7 linked regions of the Kluyveromyces lactis genome follow. The protein of the gene in region 4 interacts with the protein of the main gene of each other region in a pairwise test. Links are inferred from orthologs where the notes say so. Each region holds a gene or a part of one and is shown on either strand. Other genes may lie near its edges. The genes, in order: TDP1, RAD51, SAP1, SMT3, SRP1, MCM5 and HMO1.

Region 1 (3,336 bases), on a different chromosome or scaffold from region 4:
ACACAAAACAGAAGATAATACAATGAATAAAGGAATAACGACTCTAAAGAACTAACAACTTCCCTGGTGCTGAAATGACCCTCTTATATTTCTTTATATATTGGTGAAATCAAAATCCTTTAAAGGAATATATATGCGCTGCATAAGCTTTTTTTTATTCGTTTCGACTGTACGGGTCGAGCGATTCGCGGGTTGCTATACCGTTGTATTTATCTCATAGATATGCTAGCGCATAGTAAGTGCGCCATCACAAATCTGCTGAAAAAACCTGTTTTGGCGACGGGAGAATACGACATAGCAGATGAGATTGATGGAGGCGATGAGGTGTATAGGTGTTCAAACGACGGAAAAGGGTGGGGGCACGTGATGCGTGGGAATGATGCGGACATTGTCAATTTTTCTGTTATTCCGGTGTGATACCTAAATAATCCGGGTAACGTAAAGCGCTGACAGATGTCAGCGCCTTAGAATGTTGTTAGATGGTATTATTGTGTATATCATCATTGAACGACAGAGGTATAAGGTTCGTCAGTTGCTGAGTAACGCTGAAATTTCAATGGATACGGCGTCACCACTTTTACTGTGGGCAGAACAGTTATGTCTTCGGGTACCCTTGACCCAATTGTTCTTCCTGGCGGTTGTTGGGCACTTGCTAGTGTTAACCGTACTTTGTTTCTCCCCATGGTTGTCGTGTATAGAATACCGCATTCGTAATTGGTAGGTTTTTTTAGTGGGCTGGGACCCCATGCAGCTTGGGAAAGGTTATGACTGGTGAGTAGTATCCAATCTGGTCGCTTGAGTGTATTTTCATCTGTGAATTGTATATAATATTTGGTATGGCTTGGAACCATATGCCTATTCTTATCGGACTGTGTCGCGTTTGTTGGCAGAGGGACATGTTTTCTTAAACAAGGCACTACTTTCCTCTCAGTTTGTTCTGATCTTTTGTAAAAAAACCAATTTGCACTTAGCCCCTGTGTCATACACTCTTTGATCTCGGTTTTAGTAGGCCATACCAATGTCGAGTGCGCTAGGAACGGTGTCGTATATTCCTTGGATTTCAATTTTTTATCGTACCCATCCTTTTCGAACCAATCGGTGTATAAGTACGGTATCATAACGTCCTGTAGGAGATCGAATTTTTTTCTGAATGGGTTCCCCATAGAACTTACCTGTATGAAAAGATTTACAAATGAAAGATCATCATCTTCTTCATCGCCATGCAATTTCATACCAGATGCTCTCAAACACGACTTCAATTGTGTCAAACCACCGTTATATGGGGTTGAGTACACAAATTGACAATTTTGTTCGTCCAAGACATGCCATTTGTACCGCTTTAAAGATGCAATCAAACCATATAATGACGTATACGATGAGTACGAATTAAGGTACTCCAATAATTCGTCCTCAAACCGGGATTTCTTTTTCGGTACTGTTTCTGACTTCTCGTATAACAGGGGTGAGGTCCATACTGTCTGCTGAACCAAGTTCATCTCTTCACGAGATAGATTAAATGACGGTACATGCATTCTCATCGTCCCATTTTGATGAAACGAGAAAATAATCTTGGAATGATGACAACCCCAAGGCGAGGGAATATCAACTCGATGCACTTTCAGGTTTGCATAATGCGATATCGGTTGTTCCGAATTGATTGTGTTCAATTGACCCACTATATGAACTTTAACGTGATCTTTGATCGGGGACATGATAAGATTGATTTGAAATCCAAAGGAAAATAACCAGACTTCATTCAATGATGGGTCCGAAAGTACATCATTCAACTCGAACATATCTGGTTGTCTTGAATCACCATCGAAAATGACACTTTTTACCACTTTAAAAGGGCTATAAACTGGTGCGGTAGCAGCAACTGGCGCTGCAGTTGACACATTCCGCCCTGAACCTATCGTTGTTGGAACAACCGGCTTACTATCGGATTTTGTCCCCAAGGTAGCCCAATGAGATCGTACTGTATCTCTCACACCCATGTCACAAGCACTCACTCAATAACTTCTACGGCATATAATCCAATACCAATATGTTAATTCTGCCTTGAACTTCGCAATTCATCTTCCCTGCAACTCTTTAGCTTCTAAGTTGAACTATTAAGGCCATGTACTGGATCGAGTAGATCCACGATAACAAAATCAACACAACACGTGATATGTATATTTCACGTGACTTAGTGTAAACCCCATTACACTTTTTTTCCCGAGGGAATGCACTTTTGTCCCACAATCGGGGCGGTTCACCGAAATTATAACACCGACAACACACACAATTGCGCATGTCCTGCAAAAATTTCGCAGGATAAAACAGGATGCACTATTTTCACACTAGCATATCTGTCGTTTTGTCATAATTGTCATTTTCGTCGGTTCAACAAGTTGCATGTGCACTTATTTTTACATCATGATTCACATGATTTGTACAATCGAGTCGCACACAATTACGGTATGAAAGGTATTAGGTTACTGAAGAGAGTTTCAGAATGACAGTTGTGTGCGAGAGTTCTCATATTTGATTTTTTCACAAGGTAAACGACTGGTAGCAGCACATCGTTCTTTCTATCTCGAAGATGATCGGTATTTTTCACTGAATATAGTGAGAATCGGTCATGCGTATATATATATATATAGAGTTCGTTCAGTATAGGTATAACTTTCACATTACCTCAAGTTTTTATTCATTTGGTACCTTGGTATGAGTAAGTGCTGATACTTAACTAAGCAAACTTGTTTGGAGTCTAGCAGCTACTGTTGATATTAGACTGACTATCATCCATTATCTCAGCTGGATTCATAAATTCATTTATTACTCTTAATTATTATTTGTGATATACTCTGTCTAAAGAAGAATCATAGGTACCACCAATAGAAGATGAGAATCTCTCAGAAGTTACAGCGAGCGCATGAGGAGCGCGAGGATGCTACGTTCTCGTTCGAGTTCTTTGTTCCAAAAACATCTCAGGGTGTCCAAAACTTATACGAACGTATGGATCGTATGTATCAGACCCAACCTGAATTTATTGATATCACATGGAACGCCGGTGGTCGTCTAAGCATGCTTTCCACGGACCTTGTGGCCACATCTCAAGGTGTTTTAGGACTTGAGACGTGTATGCACTTAACATGTACCAACATGCCAGTGTCACAGATCGATGATGCTTTAAAGAAGGCTTACGATGCGGGATGTGAAAATATTCTTGCGTTGAGAGGTGATCCACCTATCAATTCTTTAGGAGAAGAAGAAGAATGGAAGCCTTGTGAAAACGGATTCAGATACGCCAAGGATTTAGTTTCTTACATACGTGAACAATACGGGGACCAT
Region 2 (2,893 bases), on a different chromosome or scaffold from region 4:
TCTCGCAAACCTTTGTTTTACAAAGTTAACGTGTTTTATATAGAAATGCAAAATTACTCTTTCTTGTCTATATGTGGAAATGGTGAAATTTCCAAAAATTTCGCTTCAGATTGTTGACGTTCGGAATTCCGGTGTGATGAGGTAAAGAATATTAAAAGAAGTCAAGCCTATTAATAGCACACTGACATGGAGAAGTGTTTGTAGCTATGATATGCAAGTCCCTTAAATGAAAGGATAGTCGTCCCTTTTCGCTGAGGGAATTATATGCGTTTTATGCGAGCATTTAACAACTAGAGAGGGTTTGCATGAATATACATATAGAATAACGTGCCCTATGGACTATTTATAACACGAATGATATGAACAAATAAATGAGAAGATAGATACGCAGTGGGGTTTTACTAGCAACGTAGGAAATTGAATGCTATATTAAAAATGTGGATTTTTCTTTTTATTCTTTTTTTTTTGGTGTTATGAATAACCAGGTAAAGAGAATCAGATCAATCATCGTCTTCCCTTGGATCTCCGATACCATCCTCGTAGATCGCAAACACACATTCTGCTTCAGGCAAACATGGTGAGTCTACCACTTTACAGTATCTCTGTGGACCTTTCCCCTTCTTGAATCCAAGACGAGTAGTGGAGGAATGAGCCATGATATTACCACCAATCGGTTTTTTTGGATCAGGGTTAAACATCATTCCTCCGTCAACTTGGGCCACAACCTGATTTGTCACTACCGCTGCGACACCAAACTGATCAGCTAGTCTTTGTAATGATCTCATGAACTTGGCAAGGTGCATCTGTCTTGCACTTAACTCACCACGTCCCGAGAAGTCGGTTCTGTACAATGCCATAATAGAATCGACAATAATCAGCGAAAATCTTGACTCACTCATCATCTGTGCAGCTGCGTCCAACAATTTCAATTGATGGTCTGCGTTATAAGCTCTTGCATATGCAACGTTATTTAAAGCATCGTCAGGGTCCAAACCGAACCTCTGCGCAATCGAAACCAACCTAATCGGTCTGAATGTACCCTCCGTATCAATGTACAAACACTTGCCTTCACCGCCTCCCATATCCAAAGGTATCTGGCATGTGACAGCCAATGTATGGCAAAGTTGCGATTTACCAGTTCTAAACTCACCAAACAGTTCAGTGATAGATCCGGTTTCTATCCCTCCGCCAAGTAGAGTATCAAGATTTTTCGATCCAGTAGTTAAACAGATCATTTCGTTTCTACGCAAATGAAAATCAGCCGCAGTGACAAAACCCATAGGCACTAGTCTCGACGCTTCAGCGAGTAACTTATCAGCTTTAGCCTCTGATATACCTTTAATCTCCATTAAATCTTTTCTGGGGGCATATGCCACCGCCTCCGCTGTGTGTAACCCACTTTCTCTTAGTTTCTTGATATCACCAGAAGTGATACCGTTCACCTGCAATTTCTCTATTGGGACAAAGGCGGCTAGAGCCACATCGTCTTCTTCAGCCATAAAATCCGTTTCCTGAATTCTTTGCTGAACATCTTCCATCTGTTCTTCGGTTCGTGAGACCATCAACTGAGAATGGCCCTGAGTAGTCTGAACTTCTTCCACCTGTGACATTTCTAATTCTGTGGAGTCAATTTAGCCTGGTTCAAGCGACCTTATAACCACTACAATACCCTTTCACAACTAGGATAGAAAACTGCTTCTCCCAAGAAAAGTGAACGTAATTGATTAATGATGTCTCATGTAATGTAATTAATAATTAAATTATATAGCCTTTTTCGTGTTTTGGTGTTTTGTTTTTTTTATTCAAATTTCAAACCAAAACAAATTAAAATGGTAAACAGTCCCTGAAGAGTGTTTATTTACATGGCACGTGACTCTTCAGTCACATGTCATATTGCGGTGGGTGGTGGATCAAGAAAGATTATCTCATCATGGTCCTCCCCATCATGACCATCACCGGAACTGAGTTCGAAAGGTTTAAGTGTAACACATGCAGTGCATTGCTTGTTCTGTCTTCCATCTTTTCTACATAGTACTGATAAATATAAAGTAGTGAGCCATATATGTTTGTAGAAAGCCATATTACTTGCAGTGTTATCATGTACAATAGATGTTGATCTTTGTCTCACTGCGTCTTTCCTTAGCGGCTTTTCTTAGCGGCTTTACTTTTATATCAGAATTAGGCAATAATATGAAAAGAAATATCGAAATTGTTGCCAAAATGAAATCTTAAAAGGAATTTTAAAATGGCCAACCGTTACATCAGGCACTATTAAACAGCGATAGATTTGATCGCCAAGTTCTCAAGAACGTCTTATTAATAAGTTCAGCCTTTCTGTCTCGGATATTTTTTTGTGGGGGAATCCTTGAATTCTTCGCTGACCGCTTGAACCTTGGCTTCTACCTTGGATAGAGAAGAATTGAAAGGTGTTTTGCGTATGTCAAAGGGCTTTAAGCAGAGGATTATACATAGTGTAGGGATAGAATCACATACAGAAAATTGCCATAATTGCCATCGATGGGTGCGTTTATAACTCCTAATAAGAACCAGAATCATAACAGATTGATGGTAGGCAATGAACAGTCCGATCCACCAATAGTGGAATCTCCGAAGATGACGAATATCCATGCGTTTATTAACGATGCAGATCTACAAACGGCTGACCAGATGCTGAAACAGACTTACCGGCCCTTGGAATATACACAGTATGCGAATTGGTTAGGTGCAAAGGAGAATAAGCGCGTACTAACGGAATTTTTGAACCTTTTGAGACCTTGGCCGACTTCGTTGTATCTTACTCTATCAAAGCTATCCCATGGTCTTTATTTGATCGCAGAAGCTACTCCGCTAGACAATATTTTAGAAGAACTTGCTGCTCAATGGACCGATGAAC
Region 3 (3,963 bases), on a different chromosome or scaffold from region 4:
TTTAAATATTATATTAGATAATACAAATTATGACATGAAACCCTAAAATTATAATGCTGACACTAAGAAACAGATTGTAATTGAAACATTACAACCCTGTTATATTTATACATTTCTGATCCGATGTTTCCCTGTATCCGCTATGATGCCAAATAGACACGCTGTACTCCTAGCAGACGCTGTATCATTTACGCATGCCTCATCCTCAGATATCTGATATAGTCCGTTTTAATTACCAAGTAACGATAGTTCGGTAGTATAATCTGTTATCTTATCGAAAAAAGATCATAGAAACAATGCAAATCTATGCTGTCACGTGACTCGGTTTTCGCCGCCCTAAAAAAAAATGTTTAGATTTTGGTATCGGCAACGGTTTTTCCGCAACGGTATTTCCAGTAATGTTTATCAGTCAGATATCGATGGGCTGATCTCGGGACGCAACGTAATAAGGATCGACAAGAGACGGACAAGAAACGGGAGACTCCATTGAATCATGAGGTTCATACTCCGGATGATCCGAAACTGGCTGCCCATTCTTCGTAACGGTTCAAACCGTCCTTTGAGACGGATGGTTTGATATACTTCAAGCTGTTACGGAAATCCTCCAAATTAACGGATCTAATACTATCTGTTTCCGTAAATAGTAGTTCATCTCCTAGTTCACGTAAGGGTCCCATAGCCGCATCTTTGGCAAGAGATGTGATATCACTGCCACTGTACCCGTCTGTTAGCAGAACCAATTCTTCAAATTCTTCGTCTGTCAGGGTGTGCCTTTGGTTTAGTAAAAGCCTTTTGAGCTGAACCTTTCTTGTGGTCGCCTCAGGAAGAGGAATGTATTGTCTTCTGACGAATCTTCTTCTGGCAGCTTCGTCAATAGACCACGGGAGATTTGTAGCAGCAAGAACTAGGACACGGTCGTCGGTATCTTTGGAATCTTTACCAGCTGCTGCGCTTGATAGCGATGACCATTGTACTAGGAACTCATTCTTGATTCTTCTACTTGATTCGTTTTCACTTTCGTTATTTCTTGACCCCATAATGGAATCTATCTCGTCCACGAATATGATGGACGGTGATAGCTTCTTGGCTACTGCAAACAAGGCTCTTACCAATTTTTCTGATTCACCAAGATATTTGGATGTTAAACTTGATGCACTGATACTGAAAAATGTAGATTTGGATTCTGTCGCAACGGCTCGAGCTAACATGGTCTTACCAGTACCAGGAGGGCCGAATAGCAGCATTCCTCTTACAGGTTCTCTTAACCCACGAAATAGGTCAGGTCTTAGGAACGGATATACAACTGCCTCTTTCAAAGAGTTCTTTGCGGTTTCCAAACCGGCAATGTCGTCCCAGTACACTTCGTCTCCGTGGACGACAATTTCACTAAAAATTTGTTTAGCAGCAGTCTTATCAACACCAGGCAATGATTCAATAAGCTCGTCCTCTAGTTGTTCCTTCGTCTGTGTAACTTCATCCAAACTTTGTGGGGCTGGTTTCGTTATTGTAGGATTAGTTGATATAGCAGATGTTTTTGTAGTAGCTGCAACAGATGTTGGATTTACCCTAGTTTTGGTTTGAGAAGTTGTTCTAACCACAGTATTTATTAATGAGGGACTAGATTTTGAAATTGGTTTCTTGAGTTTACTTGTTGAATTGCCGTTCTGAATTGATTTTTTGGCAGTGACGACAGGTCGCTTGACAGCTTTTGCTTTAAGCTGTGGTTGCGATGCAGCGACAGCTGCGCTGATAGACGTATTTCGCCTTTGAACAGGCCTTTGCTGCTTGGGTTGTGTAGGTGGAGAGGATTTTAATGCTGCGTCAACGTTAGTGTCTGAAGTTGTAGTTTTCTGTTTCGCACTGGGTTTCCTCTGAGGCGGTACTGGAGGAGGAGAAGGTCTTCTGGGAGAAGGACGCTGTGCCTCAGCAGTATCCACGCTTAGTAATGAAAATGCATCTGCTGTACCATTCAATTTATCCAATGTTTTCAGTCTGGTCATGTCTTCTTCACTGATGTTCAAATAATCCGTGTATGGTTCCTGTTTTGGATCAGAAGATATACTGAACGTCGGAAGAGGAGAAGGATCATAGGGGACAGTTTCGGCATCCGTTAAATCAATTAAATTTACCTCATTATCAAAGTCTTCAAAGGGATCCTGAGGAATTACTGCTGGTAGAGATTTGGATGCAGAAAAATTTACAGGGTTCGCCGTTTGTACATTCTTGTCGTTTTTTAATCCCAAACCACTGCCACTCTTGTTATATCGCATCTTGTACATCCCATCTCTTAACGTATGGACCTTAAATTTACCACCATTTCCAATAGAAAATGTTTTTCCGCTGTTATTATCAGGTTTCGGTACATCTTCACATAACAACTGCACTCTTTCCACATTTTTCATTGCTTTATCGCACAACTCACGTATTCCTGTCTGAAGATTCAATTCCTCCTCGGTATATGAAGCGAAGTTAGGATATTGACGGTCAATATTATTCAGCTTATACATTGCATCAGTAGCCATTAGTTTCCATCCTTGAATTGCTGCCTTGTACTCATGTCTTTGTTCTAAACCTAAATAATGTATTGTTTCATTCGCTATGCGTGAGTATAGTTCTGCCAACGAATTTAGGGGCTGCTGAGGCTTCTTTCGAATCCTAGAAAACTTCATTAGTAGCCCATGATTATCCATTATTACGATTCACTAGAAAATGGAACTTAGGATTTCCTTCTAGTTTGATATCTTACCATTTGTTGTTGCGTTAATCATTCCTTTTCTTTGCAGATACTTAAATATGGCTTAGAATTATAGAAAGATTGATCTGTTCTATTTGTTGCGTCAAGACAATTGTCAAAACAACAGGTCACGTGAATAAAGGGATTCATCAAAGCCAGGCAAGCTTGTGGAACGGGAGTAGGACATGCACCCGTTCTATTTACACAGTCAGCTCTCTTCAGTATTTTCAACTTAAAATTGCAATCTTCTAACTCAACGTTTTCCTCAGTATCAATTATAAATATAGAGTACGAATATATACAGTGACCAAAATAAATCTGATGTTGCATTTACAAGTTAAGATACCATACTGTTGGTATACCCAACAGAATATGCTGCTTTCAGCATGTCAATTAGAAGAAAAATGCTGACGACCACAAAAAGCCGGTTATAATGGTGACTACCTTGGTAAACCACCATATATGCTGAATGGAAAATGGACATAAATTGAAACTCCATTCCCATTGTCTTGTTGCTTCGTTGAAATGACCTGTTACTAGACCAGTGTTTCCATGGTATTCTCCCATCATCGACCTTACAGTAATTTCTTTGATATTTAGATTTTTTGGATCTGTTGTTTTGGATGCAGTCCAATTGCCTTTGTCATCTTTGTTATAGACAGTTTCGCAACCTTCATGATCGTGACCTGTCAAAATGATACCAGGTTTTTCAGCATCAAATATTAAGTTAAGTACCCTGTTAGAAGCTTCAGCACTCAAATGGTTTTGTGATCTCAATAGCTTGGACTTGTAAGGCTCTCTCTGGTAATCTTCTGGGTAGTATCTGAATTCTGGGCCATCGTAACACAGTCCAGATGGCTTATAAAATGGTATGTGAGTGAGCAATACCGTACTACCTTCGAATTTCCTTTCAAATAATTGGTATAAAAATTCCCAATTGGTTTCAAGTAATTCTGGTTGTAGTGCAGGTCCTTCTAATAATAAATCGTTCAAAACAATTATCCTCCATGCATTATCGGTGCCAGCATTATATTCAATCCAATAATTATCTTTTCCCAAGAGTTCGCGATATCTTGCCATGTGTTGATAAGTGGCATCTCCAGAGTAGCCAATATCGTGGTTTCCAGAAACATTGATGAACAAATAGTTTTCGGCTGAAGTCCAATTGTAGATATCTTGATAACCGAAACTAAAATTCATGGGACGATCGCCGGTTCTGATTTTGTTCA
Region 4 (2,144 bases):
TACCAAATTCAAAACGAGTGTGGCAGAAAACTATTAACAAGACAGCTAATATTTCTTCCACTTCTGGTAAATTATTCTTTCTAAAATCATTTACTGTAACAGTTATACTAATTGAAAAGAATGTTCACCATACTAGGAAGGAAAATGACTTGAAAAAAAAAAGACCTAAAAACGCGAAACTTGAAGCAAACCTAGCTTTTCGAATCGAAATAGGAATACAAGGGTGGTAATTTGCAGGAGGTCTGTTATAAGCCCTGCCATTTGATACCCAATCTCTTTTTTCTTTCCATTCGGATTTCATTTCTAATTCCATACCGACTGTTTTCCCTGGGGAAATGCAGATAAGCTTGCGGGCACTTTTCTTGTTGTTCATCCAAAGTAGTTTTAATATTCCAGATACATAGTCAGTTATTATAACATTAGATAGGTTACATTGAAAGATAAAAAAGGATGGGAATGCTGTAGTTGATCCCACTTACTGCTGCAAAGTACACTCCCAATTACAAACTACCACCAATTTGCTCTCTGTGAGCTTCAATGATATCGTTATCTTCCATGTCCAAATCTTCAGGGGTCTGATCTGGTAACACACGCACACCGTCGTAAAGGAATCTTAGGGATTCAATCTCTTTACCTTGTCTCTTAGCAAATGCCTCCATTAATCTTTTTAATGGAGTGGTCTTTTTGATCTTGAAGAAGATCTCACTGGATCCATCCGAAACCTTCAAGTTAATATGTGTTTCTGGCTTAACATCCACCTTTTGTTCTTGTTCTTCTGACATTTCAAACTGTGGTTATATATATAGGCGTTGAAGAATGGAGAAACAGGATTCAATGAATGTTTAAAGACTCGCTTTTTCTTCTTCTAACTCTCGGCAGTATAGATTGAGCTTTTGTTTGTTAAGGTAATTTGTATTGTTGAACTAATTCCTGGCCAAAAAAAAAAAATACTGTAGTCCTGAAATTCGACTGTCAACTGACATGGAAAAGAGCTCTAACAAAAAGCAGTTTCCTTCTTCCTTTTGAGAGCATGAAAATGAGAAGTTAGGGGAGGGAAGGGTAACGACCCACAGGCACGTGATCTTTCACTCCTGCCCATTTTGTTTTGCTGTACTTGGCAAAAGGATTAATCGTAACCCGGCCATGGCCGGGTTACACTTAGCCGGAAGCCGGAAGTTTCCTTTTGCCAAGTACAGCAAAAAGATAAGACGCGTGCTACAGCGCGCAAATGCCCTGTAAATATAAATCACGAGGGCACTTTCCTTTCAGTTTTTTGGATAGAGCTTCAGTCCGTGTTGCATTGGATTTTTGTCGCCGAACGCTATCACCACCGCTCATTCGTTTGTTCCGATAAAGCTATAACTGTCTGGGCTATATTGGAACCTTAAACCCGTTCTCTCAAGTGCCATTAAACTAAAAGCACCGAGATTATTACCCTATCTTTCTTATAAAAAAAGAAATAGAACCTCCGTAGACCGTTTCTCTTAGCCCAATTTGGGTTTTCCACCTCGTTCCTTTTTATTTTAGTTTCAGTTTTCTATTTTGTCGCCCTTGCAGGTGATGGCTACATCCTCTACTGGAAGCTCCATCGAGAAATGGAAACTGCAGGACCATATTCTTTCATTGCTGCGGTATTAACTGGGTGAAGCTGATCATTTGAAAAAGAAATAGGAAGGTGTATGGGTTGTTCCAGGAATATTTAAGGCTCTTCTCTGGACAGCCCTTAGAATCCCGCGCCAGGGATTGTTCGAAAGTGGCGTATTGAATCTTTTTGTATGCAGTTTGCGGTCTTTTCTTTTGGTTCATGGCACAATCTTATTTTCTTTACTTTTTTTCATTCGCAGTAACGTTAAGAAGTGTGTCACAAGATGACGAGATGAGACGATGTAGCCATTGAGCGATCCAAGACTGGAGGTACTTTAGAAGCTGTTAGATGCGTAGCTTAGCCTCAGCCAAAGAGATGGCAATCGTATTCTGATTGCCTTTTCCCTCAGTTCCTTCCCCCACCTGCCCATGGTTAGTAAATTGGATGATTTGGTCCTGATAACTCAGAAATCACTCTAGTTAGTAGTTGGTAAGTAATATACTGATCGATTTAAGAATGAGATGATGTATTATAATGTTCCTAGTGATTATCTGGGACG
Region 5 (3,336 bases), on a different chromosome or scaffold from region 4:
CATTGAACTCATATTATCGCATCAGCGTAATATTCAACTCCGAGCTTTGAAGTAGCACATATGCATTGGATATTTCCTTTTCGTGTGATTATAGGCGATGTTTCACCGAGGAAATTTCGATTGTGTATTTTTAAAGGTTTACAAAAATCCAAACCTTTAAATGTTGATATTATGCATCGGAACATGTAGAGGTAACACCGAAAGTGATATGCACCTAACTGGTCACCTAATTTCTATGACAGAGAGAAGGTCCATGATACTGTTTTTTGAGCACAGTTTTTACTTTTATCGTGGTTCAAAACTGCAAATAAGACTTGGGCCCTTTAATGACATAGAATTCTGTTTCACAATGAAGGGAGAAGTGTAGATTAATAATACTATAGATAGATTACATTAATGCAAAAATTATATGATATTTAACAGGCGCGTAGTATTCATTTATTGTCTAGAATAAAAAAAGCAAATGTAATTACATGACACACGCACAGCTAGAGTTGGTTTTAATTGAAGTTGAATTGCTGGTTGACATTTGATCCAAATCCAAAAGTGTTACCAGCTGTTTGTGGAGCCATAGATTCATCAACAACATCATCTTCATCACTAAAGTACTTTTCAATGATCTTGAAGGCCTTTTCGTAAATTTTTTCGTTAGCATTAGACTGTAAATTGAAGATCTTTTCCATACCACCAGCTTTCTCAATGAAATCAGCATTTTCGTTCACGGCAATACCTCTGACTTCTCTATCCATTTCACCCATCTTCAAAATATTTTCTATAGCATCTAGTGTAACCTCTATGATTCTGTTATCAGCAATCTCTAATAGATCGCACAATGGTTTTATACAGCCTTGACTGACCAAATATCTGATAATTTCTGGCTTGTGTAACCCACCAGAAGAGGCATTCGAGATGGCCCAACATGCTTCTTTCTTTGTCTTATATTCTGCAGTTTCCAACAATCTGATTAATGGTGGAATTAAGTTAGCATCAATAACGGCTTGAATCTGTTCCGTATTACCAGCGGTTATATTAGAGATGGTCCAACAAGCTTCCTTTCTTATGGATTCCTTTGGAGAAGCCAATAGATTTCTTAGAGCTGCCAAGGCTCCACAGTTGATAACGATCTGAGTTTGCAAATCGTTACCTGTGACAATGTTACCTACAGCTCTTAGAGCAGGGGTTTGCACTAACGTAGATTGGTGGGATAGTAGTTCTACAAGTCTCTTTGGGATTCTAGCATCTACTACCGCTTGGATCGAATTAACCGGGCCATCGGAAAGATATGAGATAGCCCAACAAGCATCGACTAACGTTTCAGTATCCATGGAGTAGATTAGCTTAGACAAAGTTGGCAAAGCTTGAGACACGATAGACCAATCTGGTTGAGGTTTCTTACCACGACACAAGTTAGATAAAGTCCACGTAGCTGTTCTAATCAAGGAAGTCTTGTTCAATTCGAACAAATATAGAATTGGTTGCATGGCACCACATTGCAAAACGTAGTCTCTATAATCGGTGGAATCACCAGCAACGTTACCCAAGGCCCAAATAGCTTGTTCCTTCACTTCAACCGAGTTTGAATATAATAATTGAATGAATAATGGCACAGCACCCGCATCTACGACGACTCTAGTCTGCTCAGAAGTACCAGAAGCAATGTTCGTCAACGCCCAAGCAGCTTCCAATTGCAACATCTCAGGTTGATTTTCGCTCATGAATTGGACCAAGGTTGGCACTACGCCAGTACTGATAACCAAATCGATAGGTGGTCTGTGTTCTCTAGACAAGACTTGTCTAAACTTGACCGTCACAGCCAACTGTTGTTGTAGATCGTTAGAATGGATTTGTTCCAACATAGCAGGCAACTCCTGTTGTAATTGTCTGTAGAAAGAGGAGTCCTGATCGTCATCATCATCATTTTCATCATCAGAATCGTTACCAACAGGCGCATTGAAATTTCTTCTTTTTGCTAATGCCTCATCCCTCTTGACTTTTCTCAACTCGACTTGTTGAACGTCTCTACGACGACGTAATTCATCAGCAGAGAATCTACCCTTATTCTTGAAGTTTGTCCTCCTGTATTCAGGAACAAACTTGCTGGAAGTGTCACCGTCCATCTTTCACTTATAAAATAATAAAACGGATACCTGCTATCTGATCCTTCGTGCTAGCCGCGAACCAAAGAAAATTCAGAGAAGTAAAAAAAAAGATTGTAACTAATTCCTTTCTACCAAACTCACAATCACAATTGATCGTCCCGTCTTTTCAAGTAGATATTTTTGCAAATGGGTTCCAAATCAAACAAAAATAAAGAGAAGTTGGATTTAAAGAAGAAATTATCAGTCGCAAAATCAATCTCTAACAATCACAAATAGCGTTTCCCCTTGAGTAAATGAAAATCTGATTCGTTTCTTTGTATTGCTTGACAGAAAAATATATCGGAAGCCAAGAGCACCGTATTGTTTTATATATGTAACAGTGTAATTGAAGTAGAATGCAAACCAATCTTTTATTCAATCCCATATAATATCCATCTTGATTAAAATCCTTCTTTTTTGGCCATCCAAAAAATTCGAATTTTTTTTTTTGGTTGAAATTTCTTTGCCAGATAGTCGTGATGTACGGAGTTGTCACGTGACATACCAACCTCGTGTAAGAAAACGACAAAGGTTCTAACATCAAAAGACAGGAAAAGATGGGCAGGGTCAATTTGACACACTTTTCAACACATATTAAGAGATGTATATACGTATACATAATATATTTGGGATGGTTGGTAATATAAATATATCACCGGGGATTCCTTGTTTTCGTTCCTCATTCATTCTCATGATACACACACACTAAAGTATACATGAGGGTAAGTTGATGAGAGTAGAAGCGAAAGAATTGTGATACAATCAACTAGCATAAGTTCCTTTTTCTATTTCCCCCTTTAGTAAGCATCAAAAATACATTCACTGGGTATTGGAGATGGATGGAATGATTTGAGGGAGAGAAAAAGGAATGGACAAAACCGCTCAGTTGATGTTTTATTGACATGTTCTCTCTAGCAGCATTTTGAAAATGTCCCTCACAAATAAATGAGTGCTCGAATGAACAGGCGGGAAAGATTCAGAATTCAACGCCAAGAAAGAAACACGGTTCACCTACTGCACTCCATTCCTTTTTGTTATATATATACTCCAAATATCGACGATTATGAATTTTCACAACACACACACTGCTGTACGGTTCATAAACGTCAATTTTTTTTCATTCATGAAATGGAATAATTTTCAAATTAGGACACAGATAGATGAGATTGAGTAGTATATACTGTGTTAATTTAACACA
Region 6 (4,226 bases), on a different chromosome or scaffold from region 4:
AGTTTGACGTCGTAGCAACTGGTGATATGTGCCGTGGAGGCACCCCCATGGTAAAACTGTTGGGAATATTCACAAGTACAAACAAACATACATACTTACTTACCATAAACTCTCACAGAGGAACCCGGAAATACGACTGGAGATGCAGCTGGAATGGGGGTTTTTCTTTGAGAGCTAGTTCTAGCCATGGCAATGACTGAATGCTCGATACTGACGTTTCAGTGCTGGATTCATCTTACTGGAATGGCTAATAATAAAGCATGGGGTGGCAAGAGCGAGGGATATCTACATGTAAGGCGTGTATGAGCGCGATTACTTTCTAGACGTGCGCCTATTTTTTTTCTTGTTTTTCTTTTTTTCTAATTTGCTTTTTCCCCATAGTGTAGTTAACATTAAATCGTATGATATTCTGCAGGCTGTTCGCACAAGCTCAACACGGGGTTAATAAGGGCGCTAAGCCGGGTGAGTCTAGTGCTGAATCAGATCAGGAACACACTGGGAGAGAGAGAGGGAGCTGATGATGCGCGGACAAATGAATAACAGACTTGAAATTTTTTACCTAATGCTCAATCAATGATTTCCTAATCCCAAAATCAAAGAAAAATTTTCTGACTAGAATGCTTCCATAATTTTTCAATGATTTTGGCGGCTTGAATTGTGATGAATGCATTCAACATTTTTTGCAGTGCGGTTGAAAGCACAGGCAAAGTGATTCGTCTGTAGTAATTCTAAGAACATTCTTGTGACATTTACTCTCCACCTTTATATTGTTGTAACAGCTGTTGGTCTGGTGACCGATCATGAGGTTTTTCCTAGCCGTTTCACTCAGTTCAAGTCGTAGAAAAATTTAGTCGGGATTCAGTCTCCTCTTGCCCCTCTTCACCAATATGGCTGAATACCGGATTTTTTGCATCTTTCATTTTTGACCGATTAAAGAACGGCTTGAAAAATCAGTACGCTTGATTTTGCTAGATAGCTAAGTTATCCTGGCTTGGCCTTTTGCCGCTTTTGGTAAGGTGGCAGGAATTTTTCATTACATTTCAGCGGTTATTCTGTGTAGCGAAGTTTCTCCGATTTCTAAGATCAGAACAAACCACGAAAGCAATGCACCCTTATTGACTTTCCTTATTCGGTGCAGTTGGTTGTTCGAGCAACGCGTCGTCACCTAAATTGAATCCCTCAAGGCAAAAAGAAAACCGCATTTTAACCTTCCGGGTCACGTGTTGAGAAGTGTTGTTTCATATTTATTTTTCTTTCGGTTCGATCAATTACTTTTCCGTATTAGGTTAAGCGAAGATCAAGCTTTTTTTTTTTTTGATTTGGAATTTTATTCTGTTTTGAATATCCGGATTCAATCGCGACTTAAATTACAACAAACATCATACATCTTAAAGAGTATCCGTATTACATGTCTGTGTTTCTAAGTAAACTGCTGAGATAGGTATTATACAATTTCAAGGGCAACAAGTCAATTGAAGACAGGCCATGTCGTTTGATAAACCAGAGATCCATACCACTAGAGTGTTGGCAGGTGAAGAACTGTCTTCCAATGAAAATTCAGAGATTATCAAATCTTTTAAGAGTTTCATACTGGAATTCAGACTAGATTCCAACTTCGTTTACAGAGAACAACTGAGAAATAACCTGTTGGTTCATAAATACTTCCTTGACGTGAATACGGAGCATCTTATTGGATATAATGAAGATCTATACAAAAAATTACAGGATGAACCGATAGATATTATCCCGTTGTTCGAACAAGCAATAACTCAAGTGGCAAAGAGAATTGTTTTGTTATCGCAAGATTCTGATATTGATCCAGAGACAGCGTTGTCGAACTTCCCACTATGTCAGCTCATTTTAAATTCCAGTTCTATGGAAATTCCATTAAGAAGTTTGGATTCGGATCACGTTTCTAAGATCGTCAGAATTACAGGGATCATCATCTCATCCAGTGTCTTGACATCAAGAGCCACTCAGTTATCGCTAATGTGTAGAAGCTGTAAACATATGACAACTTTGAAGTTGAACAATTTCCAGAATTTGAATAACAATAACGTCCAGTTACCTCGTGAGTGTCTTGCAGATCGTTCCAACGAAACAGATGAAACAGCAGCTTCTTGTGGCCCTGACCCATATTTAATCGTACACGAATCGTCACAGTTTATTGACCAACAGTTTTTGAAACTACAAGAATTACCGGAATCCGTGCCAATTGGTGAATTGCCTAGAAATTTACTAATGACATGTGATAGATATTTGACCAACCAAGTTGTTCCAGGAACAAGAGTTACCATTATTGGTATTTATTCCATCTACCAATCCAAGAATAAGAGTATTAATAGTTCTGGAAATAAAGCTGTGGCGATCAGAAACCCTTACGTGAAAGTTATCGGGATCAAACACCTATCAAATAATCCGTTAAACAATTCTCTATCTATGTTTTCGGAAAGTGAAGAACAAGAATTTTTGGAGCTTTCCCAACGACCAGATCTATATGAACTTTTCGCCAACTCAATTGCTCCCAGTATCTATGGTAACACTGATATCAAGAAAGCCATCGTTTGTCTCCTTATGGGCGGATCGAAGAAATTGTTACCAGATGGTATGAGACTAAGAGGTGATATCAACGTGCTACTGCTTGGTGATCCTGGTACTGCAAAATCCCAACTGTTGAAATTTGTGGAAAAAGTTTCTCCGATTTCGGTATATACATCTGGTAAAGGTTCTTCTGCAGCTGGTTTGACGGCAAGTGTCCAAAGAGATCCAACTACACGGGAATTTTACCTAGAAGGAGGTGCAATGGTGCTTGCTGATGGTGGTGTTGTCTGTATTGACGAATTTGACAAGATGAGAGACGAGGACCGTGTTGCCATCCATGAAGCCATGGAACAACAAACTATTTCCATTGCTAAAGCCGGTATCACTACCGTTTTGAATTCTAGAACTAGTGTCTTAGCTGCAGCAAACCCTGTTTACGGTAGATATGATGATTTGAAATCACCGGGTGAAAACATTGATTTCCAAACTACCATCTTGTCCAGATTCGATATGATCTTCATTGTTAAAGATGATCACAATGAAGCTAGAGATATCCAAATTGCGAACCACGTCATGAACATTCACACAGGAAGAACTCAACAAAACGATCCAAATGATAATTCCAACTCCAACAACGAAATTCCAATAGAAACTATGAAGAGATATGTTAGTTACTGTAGGTTAAAATGTGCCCCCAGGTTATCTCCTGAAGCAGCCACAAAATTATCTTCTCATTTCATCACTATTAGAAAACAATTACAAGAGTCCGAAAGACATTCCAATGAGAGGTCTTCCATTCCAATCACAGTTCGTCAATTAGAAGCCATAATTCGTATCACAGAATCTTTAGCTAAATTAGAACTGAATCCAGTAGCGACCGAAAAACATGTTGATGAAGCCATTAGATTATTCCAAGCTTCTACGATGGATGCTGCCTCTCAGGATCCTATCAACTCCCAGGAAAATGATACAACAATGCTCTCACAAATTAGAAGAATCGAATCTGAATTGAAAAGAAGGTTGCCAATAGGATGGTCTACAAGTTACAAAACTTTGCAAAGGGAATTCGTTGTGAACAAGAAACTTCCCCAATATGCGCTAGATAAGGCGTTATACCTGTTAGAAAGACATGATTCTATTCAACTAAGACATCAAGGTCAGAATATTTATAGAAGTGGAGTATGAAGTTGCAAATGAAATTCAGGAACCCCTCCTTGAACATTGTCTATAACTCATATGTACCACTGTGTATAAGGAATTTCAGCGACTATGTGTTGATATTTATATAGTGTAAGATTACCCGGATAATGATAATGATAATTGGATAATCCGAAAGAAAACAACTGGATGGTATATTGGGTTTGATGCACAGGATGAGATGATGAGATGACCAAAGAAGGAACCTCTCATATCATATGGCAATCAGGACAAGTTATCACAAACTTACGAGATTGCAAATATCATAAGCCAAGGACTTATCTTCAGGATTTGTCTGTTACATATACTAGAAAATTGACCTAAAACACGATGGCCGATACATATATTCCAAAGACAGACCTTTCAAGGTCTGAACTATCTAGAGACGAGCTAACACAACTAGAAGAATTCGAAATGAAATATGGACCCATGTCTCTAATCAGGGAATCAATGCTACAGAGGACACCTGTTATAATATCACTAAGGAA
Region 7 (2,848 bases), on a different chromosome or scaffold from region 4:
AGTTGATCAGCAATGCTAAATGAGATTCTTTCAAACTTGTCACCGAGTAATTCAAAGAAGTAAACTGACGGCGGAATATTTGAAGAAATTTGGCACTGCATAGATGCATTGTAGATAAGTTATACGTTGACTTGACATTAAAATATACCACTCATTATTTTGGCATAGTATTTGAACAACGTGTGTACGAAAATAAGGTCCATGTACTGAATTGCACGTAAGTGTTTTACAAATTAAAGGATCAAAGATTAATTTCAATTGGGAAAGAATAAAAATAAGTGAAGTGATATGAAAAATTTGAAACAATACCACAAAGAAAATCTTCAATTACTCCACAATGCTTCCTATAGCAGCTTGTGCTGTGAAGATCATCCCATACAGATTAAATGTATTATTCTTATATTTCTTGTATATTATTACACATTGTTACAACTATTTTTACAAAGAAAGAAAGAGTGTCATCATATATATGTATGAAGCATTATATAAATCCCAGCTCGTTAGTCCTTAGATTTGTCTTTTCCCTTATCCTTCTTCTTTTTCTTCTTTTTCTTTTCACTGGAAGCATCTTCATCATATGGTCTTTTTTCAATATGGGGCAAGCCGAAATCTTCGGCAGATTGCAAGTAATCAGGAAGTGGAACAGGGGCAGAATTTGGACCTTCATTTAATGTTAAGGTACCATTTTTCTTAGCTTCCAAGTATTTTTGTTTTTCCCTTTGATAATTTTCTAGTTCTGCGTTGTACGCTTGTTTCCATTTGTCTTTCTCAGAGTCTCCTAAGTCTTTCCACTTCTTTGAAATTTCTTGAGTGATTTCAGTCGAAGACAATGGTGGGAGACCAGCTCTTTGTCTTTCATCACGCAAAGCTTGACGAACATACGCAGAATATGCAAAGAAGACGGTAAGCGGTTTCTTTGGAGCATAAGGATCACGTGGAATCTTCTTCTTGACAACCTTTGCAGCTGCGTCAGTGGTGGGAATTTCCTTCTCATCTTCAATAGGGTTTGTTAGCTCAGTACTAATGGAATTCAATTGATTCGTAGAAGAAGTTAACTTCTGTAACGCCTCTGTCAAAATAGTAAAGGCCTCGATTCTTTCTTCTTCATCATCGCCGATCGAATGGTAGAAGTCAACTAAACATGATGCAGTTTGGTTAGCAGCTTTTGATAGCTCGAATAGAGAGGAAACTAACTGTTGATGTTTAGGATTATTGTTGTTAGTACAGCTGGTCGAGATGACGCCTCAAGCATCGATAGATATACAAAACACATCGTAAAACAGTTCACCTATGAATGAGGAGCATACATGGAAACTTACTGTTATGATATGTTCCATATTCAGCTGCGACACCGTGATTTACAGCTTCATATGATAGTAACGTACAGAGTCCTTCGCCGTTCTTAGTTTGATACTAGGTTCGGACATCTTAAAATCTTTGGTGGATTCACGTGTAGAACTCTTTCGAAGTCTGTTGGAAGGGTCGTTCTGGAAGGAAGTTGTTAAACGGAGCTCCCATTAGCTTCCCAGTAAGTCCTTCTGAGATTTTTATGGTTCTCCTTTCAAGATGAAAAACACTCAGCCTGGAAGAAAAAAAGAGACTCCCAACGATCAAGTTACCATTATGTAATTTGATTGGTCAATACAAATATAGTCAACCGGGTAATACATCTAAATTCCCCACATAAAGTTCGGGTAACTAATATAGCAACCTTTTTTTTCCGGTGATGCGTTTGTTTCACGGAGAATTAAAGAAGAATGAAAGAAGACCCAGAAACTCTCAGGAATTATCTAACGCGTTCCTACCGAGATTGTATAAAATCAAAAACATGGTAATTCCGAACATTCATTCTTTTTATTTTGAAAAGTTAGTAAAAAAAATGAAAGAGTGTGGGCCGTTGGACCGAATGATGATCAGATCTGGTAGTAGGGACTTCGCTTAGATGGTTAGTAGTATTCATGTCAAAAGATGCCATTCCGTCTTAAAAGTTTAATAGTGAAATTGTTTGATGATTGAATTGGTGAACGGTATACGAACTTCGACTGACGAAGTAACTATATATGGTGTTCTCCTTGGTTTCTTACATCTGACATATAAGTTAATGTAGAACAATAATTAATGTGTCGTCAAATCCAAATAGGTAAATTTTATGAAGGAACCTTCTACTTATATACTTTGTGGATTGTCTTGCCAATCACCAAACGCTGTAGCCTTGATCCTAGTTCTTCTCAGCTTCGGCTTCTTATCTAGCATTGGTTCAATAACTGGCGCCTTAGAAATGCTCTTACAACGCCATAGTTTAACATGAGCAAATGAAAATGAACCATCTTTCACTTATAAATGGATAGTTCGCTAGACAGTTCAGCAAATATGGTGCCCAACAAACCGTGTTTTCAAAACTAAAGAGAAATAACACACTGCTTAGAAAGGCGTTAGTTTAGGGAGATTACGGTTCTTATGAGGGATAATAGAACGAAACTTGCCATTAGAGCATATTTGAGATGCGCATATATGAAAGGGGTAATGATGAAAAAAGGAAAAATGGTAAAAGCGCGAGTTTTACCACCTAAAAAAATACTTAGAAAAACAACTCAGGGTAGTAAGAAAATGAAGAAAATGGATACATTTTGCAATATAAAACGTGAGAGCTGATAGAAAAGGTGCGAGGGTGAGAAAAAAGTTTAGAAGACATTCCAAGTACAGGACAATTTCTCAATTTCAATTAAAAATCTGCTTAGAATTAGAAAATAATCTTTCAGATTATTTTAAAGCATGTACTTACGCATATTATTCAGATTATGAAAATTTCATTAAATATTATGATTATGAAGAGCTTTTTGATGAAGAT

What was found.
Region 1: the proteins of SMT3 (region 4) and TDP1 interact in a two-hybrid assay, tested with the Saccharomyces cerevisiae proteins (2 studies listed by BioGRID). The link is inferred for Kluyveromyces lactis from reciprocal best matches to the Saccharomyces cerevisiae genes SMT3 and TDP1.
Region 2: the proteins of SMT3 (region 4) and RAD51 interact in a two-hybrid assay, tested with the Saccharomyces cerevisiae proteins (2 studies listed by BioGRID). The link is inferred for Kluyveromyces lactis from reciprocal best matches to the Saccharomyces cerevisiae genes SMT3 and RAD51.
Region 3: the proteins of SMT3 (region 4) and SAP1 interact in a two-hybrid assay, tested with the Saccharomyces cerevisiae proteins (2 studies listed by BioGRID). The link is inferred for Kluyveromyces lactis from reciprocal best matches to the Saccharomyces cerevisiae genes SMT3 and SAP1.
Region 5: the proteins of SMT3 (region 4) and SRP1 interact in a two-hybrid assay, tested with the Saccharomyces cerevisiae proteins (2 studies listed by BioGRID). The link is inferred for Kluyveromyces lactis from reciprocal best matches to the Saccharomyces cerevisiae genes SMT3 and SRP1.
Region 6: the proteins of SMT3 (region 4) and MCM5 interact in binary tests that used the Saccharomyces cerevisiae proteins (3 or more experiments, as listed by UniProt). The link is inferred for Kluyveromyces lactis from reciprocal best matches to the Saccharomyces cerevisiae genes SMT3 and MCM5.
Region 7: the proteins of SMT3 (region 4) and HMO1 interact in a two-hybrid assay, tested with the Saccharomyces cerevisiae proteins (2 studies listed by BioGRID, with this or other methods). The link is inferred for Kluyveromyces lactis from reciprocal best matches to the Saccharomyces cerevisiae genes SMT3 and HMO1.

The regions. Positions count from the first base shown.
Region 1 is NC_006042.1:884,402-887,737, forward strand, and holds TDP1 (tyrosyl-DNA phosphodiesterase 1), read right to left. Parts: upstream 1,995-3,336; coding exon 501-1,994; downstream 1-500. Other genes in the region: methylenetetrahydrofolate reductase (NAD(P)H) MET13, read left to right, coding at 2,887-3,336. UniProt on the Saccharomyces cerevisiae protein: DNA repair enzyme that can remove a variety of covalent adducts from DNA through hydrolysis of a 3'-phosphodiester bond, giving rise to DNA with a free 3' phosphate.
Region 2 is NC_006041.1:1,798,048-1,800,940, reverse strand, and holds RAD51 (recombinase RAD51), read right to left. Parts: upstream 1,611-2,893; coding exon 501-1,610; downstream 1-500. Other genes in the region: Arf family guanine nucleotide exchange factor YEL1, read left to right, coding at 2,518-2,893. UniProt on the Saccharomyces cerevisiae protein: Required both for recombination and for the repair of DNA damage caused by X-rays. Its function may be modulated by interaction with other repair proteins. RAD52 interacts directly with RAD51, via its C-terminus.
Region 3 is NC_006041.1:395,527-399,489, forward strand, and holds SAP1 (putative AAA family ATPase SAP1), read right to left. Parts: upstream 2,691-3,963; coding exon 501-2,690; downstream 1-500. Other genes in the region: TED1 (Ted1p), read right to left, coding at 3,128-3,963.
Region 4 is NC_006039.1:125,580-127,723, reverse strand, and holds SMT3 (SUMO family protein SMT3), read right to left. Parts: upstream 783-2,144; coding exon 501-782; downstream 1-500. UniProt on the Saccharomyces cerevisiae protein: Not known; suppressor of MIF2 mutations.
Region 5 is NC_006040.1:729,689-733,024, forward strand, and holds SRP1 (karyopherin alpha), read right to left. Parts: upstream 2,118-3,336; coding exon 501-2,117; downstream 1-500. Other genes in the region: KAR1 (Kar1p), read right to left, coding at 1-12. UniProt on the Saccharomyces cerevisiae protein: Functions in nuclear protein import as an adapter protein for importin beta nuclear receptors. Binds specifically and directly to substrates containing either a simple or bipartite NLS motif. Promotes docking of import substrates to the nuclear envelope.
Region 6 is NC_006040.1:778,788-783,013, forward strand, and holds MCM5 (MCM DNA helicase complex subunit MCM5), read left to right. Parts: upstream 1-1,485; coding exon 1,486-3,726; downstream 3,727-4,226. Other genes in the region: mRNA splicing protein SMD2, read left to right, coding at 4,069-4,226. UniProt on the Saccharomyces cerevisiae protein: Acts as a component of the MCM2-7 complex (MCM complex) which is the putative replicative helicase essential for 'once per cell cycle' DNA replication initiation and elongation in eukaryotic cells.
Region 7 is NC_006040.1:1,520,488-1,523,335, reverse strand, and holds HMO1 (Hmo1p), read right to left. Parts: upstream 1,428-2,848; coding exon 1,386-1,427; intron 1,194-1,385; coding exon 501-1,193; downstream 1-500. UniProt on the Saccharomyces cerevisiae protein: DNA-binding protein that is probably part of the rDNA transcription apparatus. Acts synergetically with the RPA49 subunit of RNA polymerase I during rDNA transcription. May participate in mutagenesis control.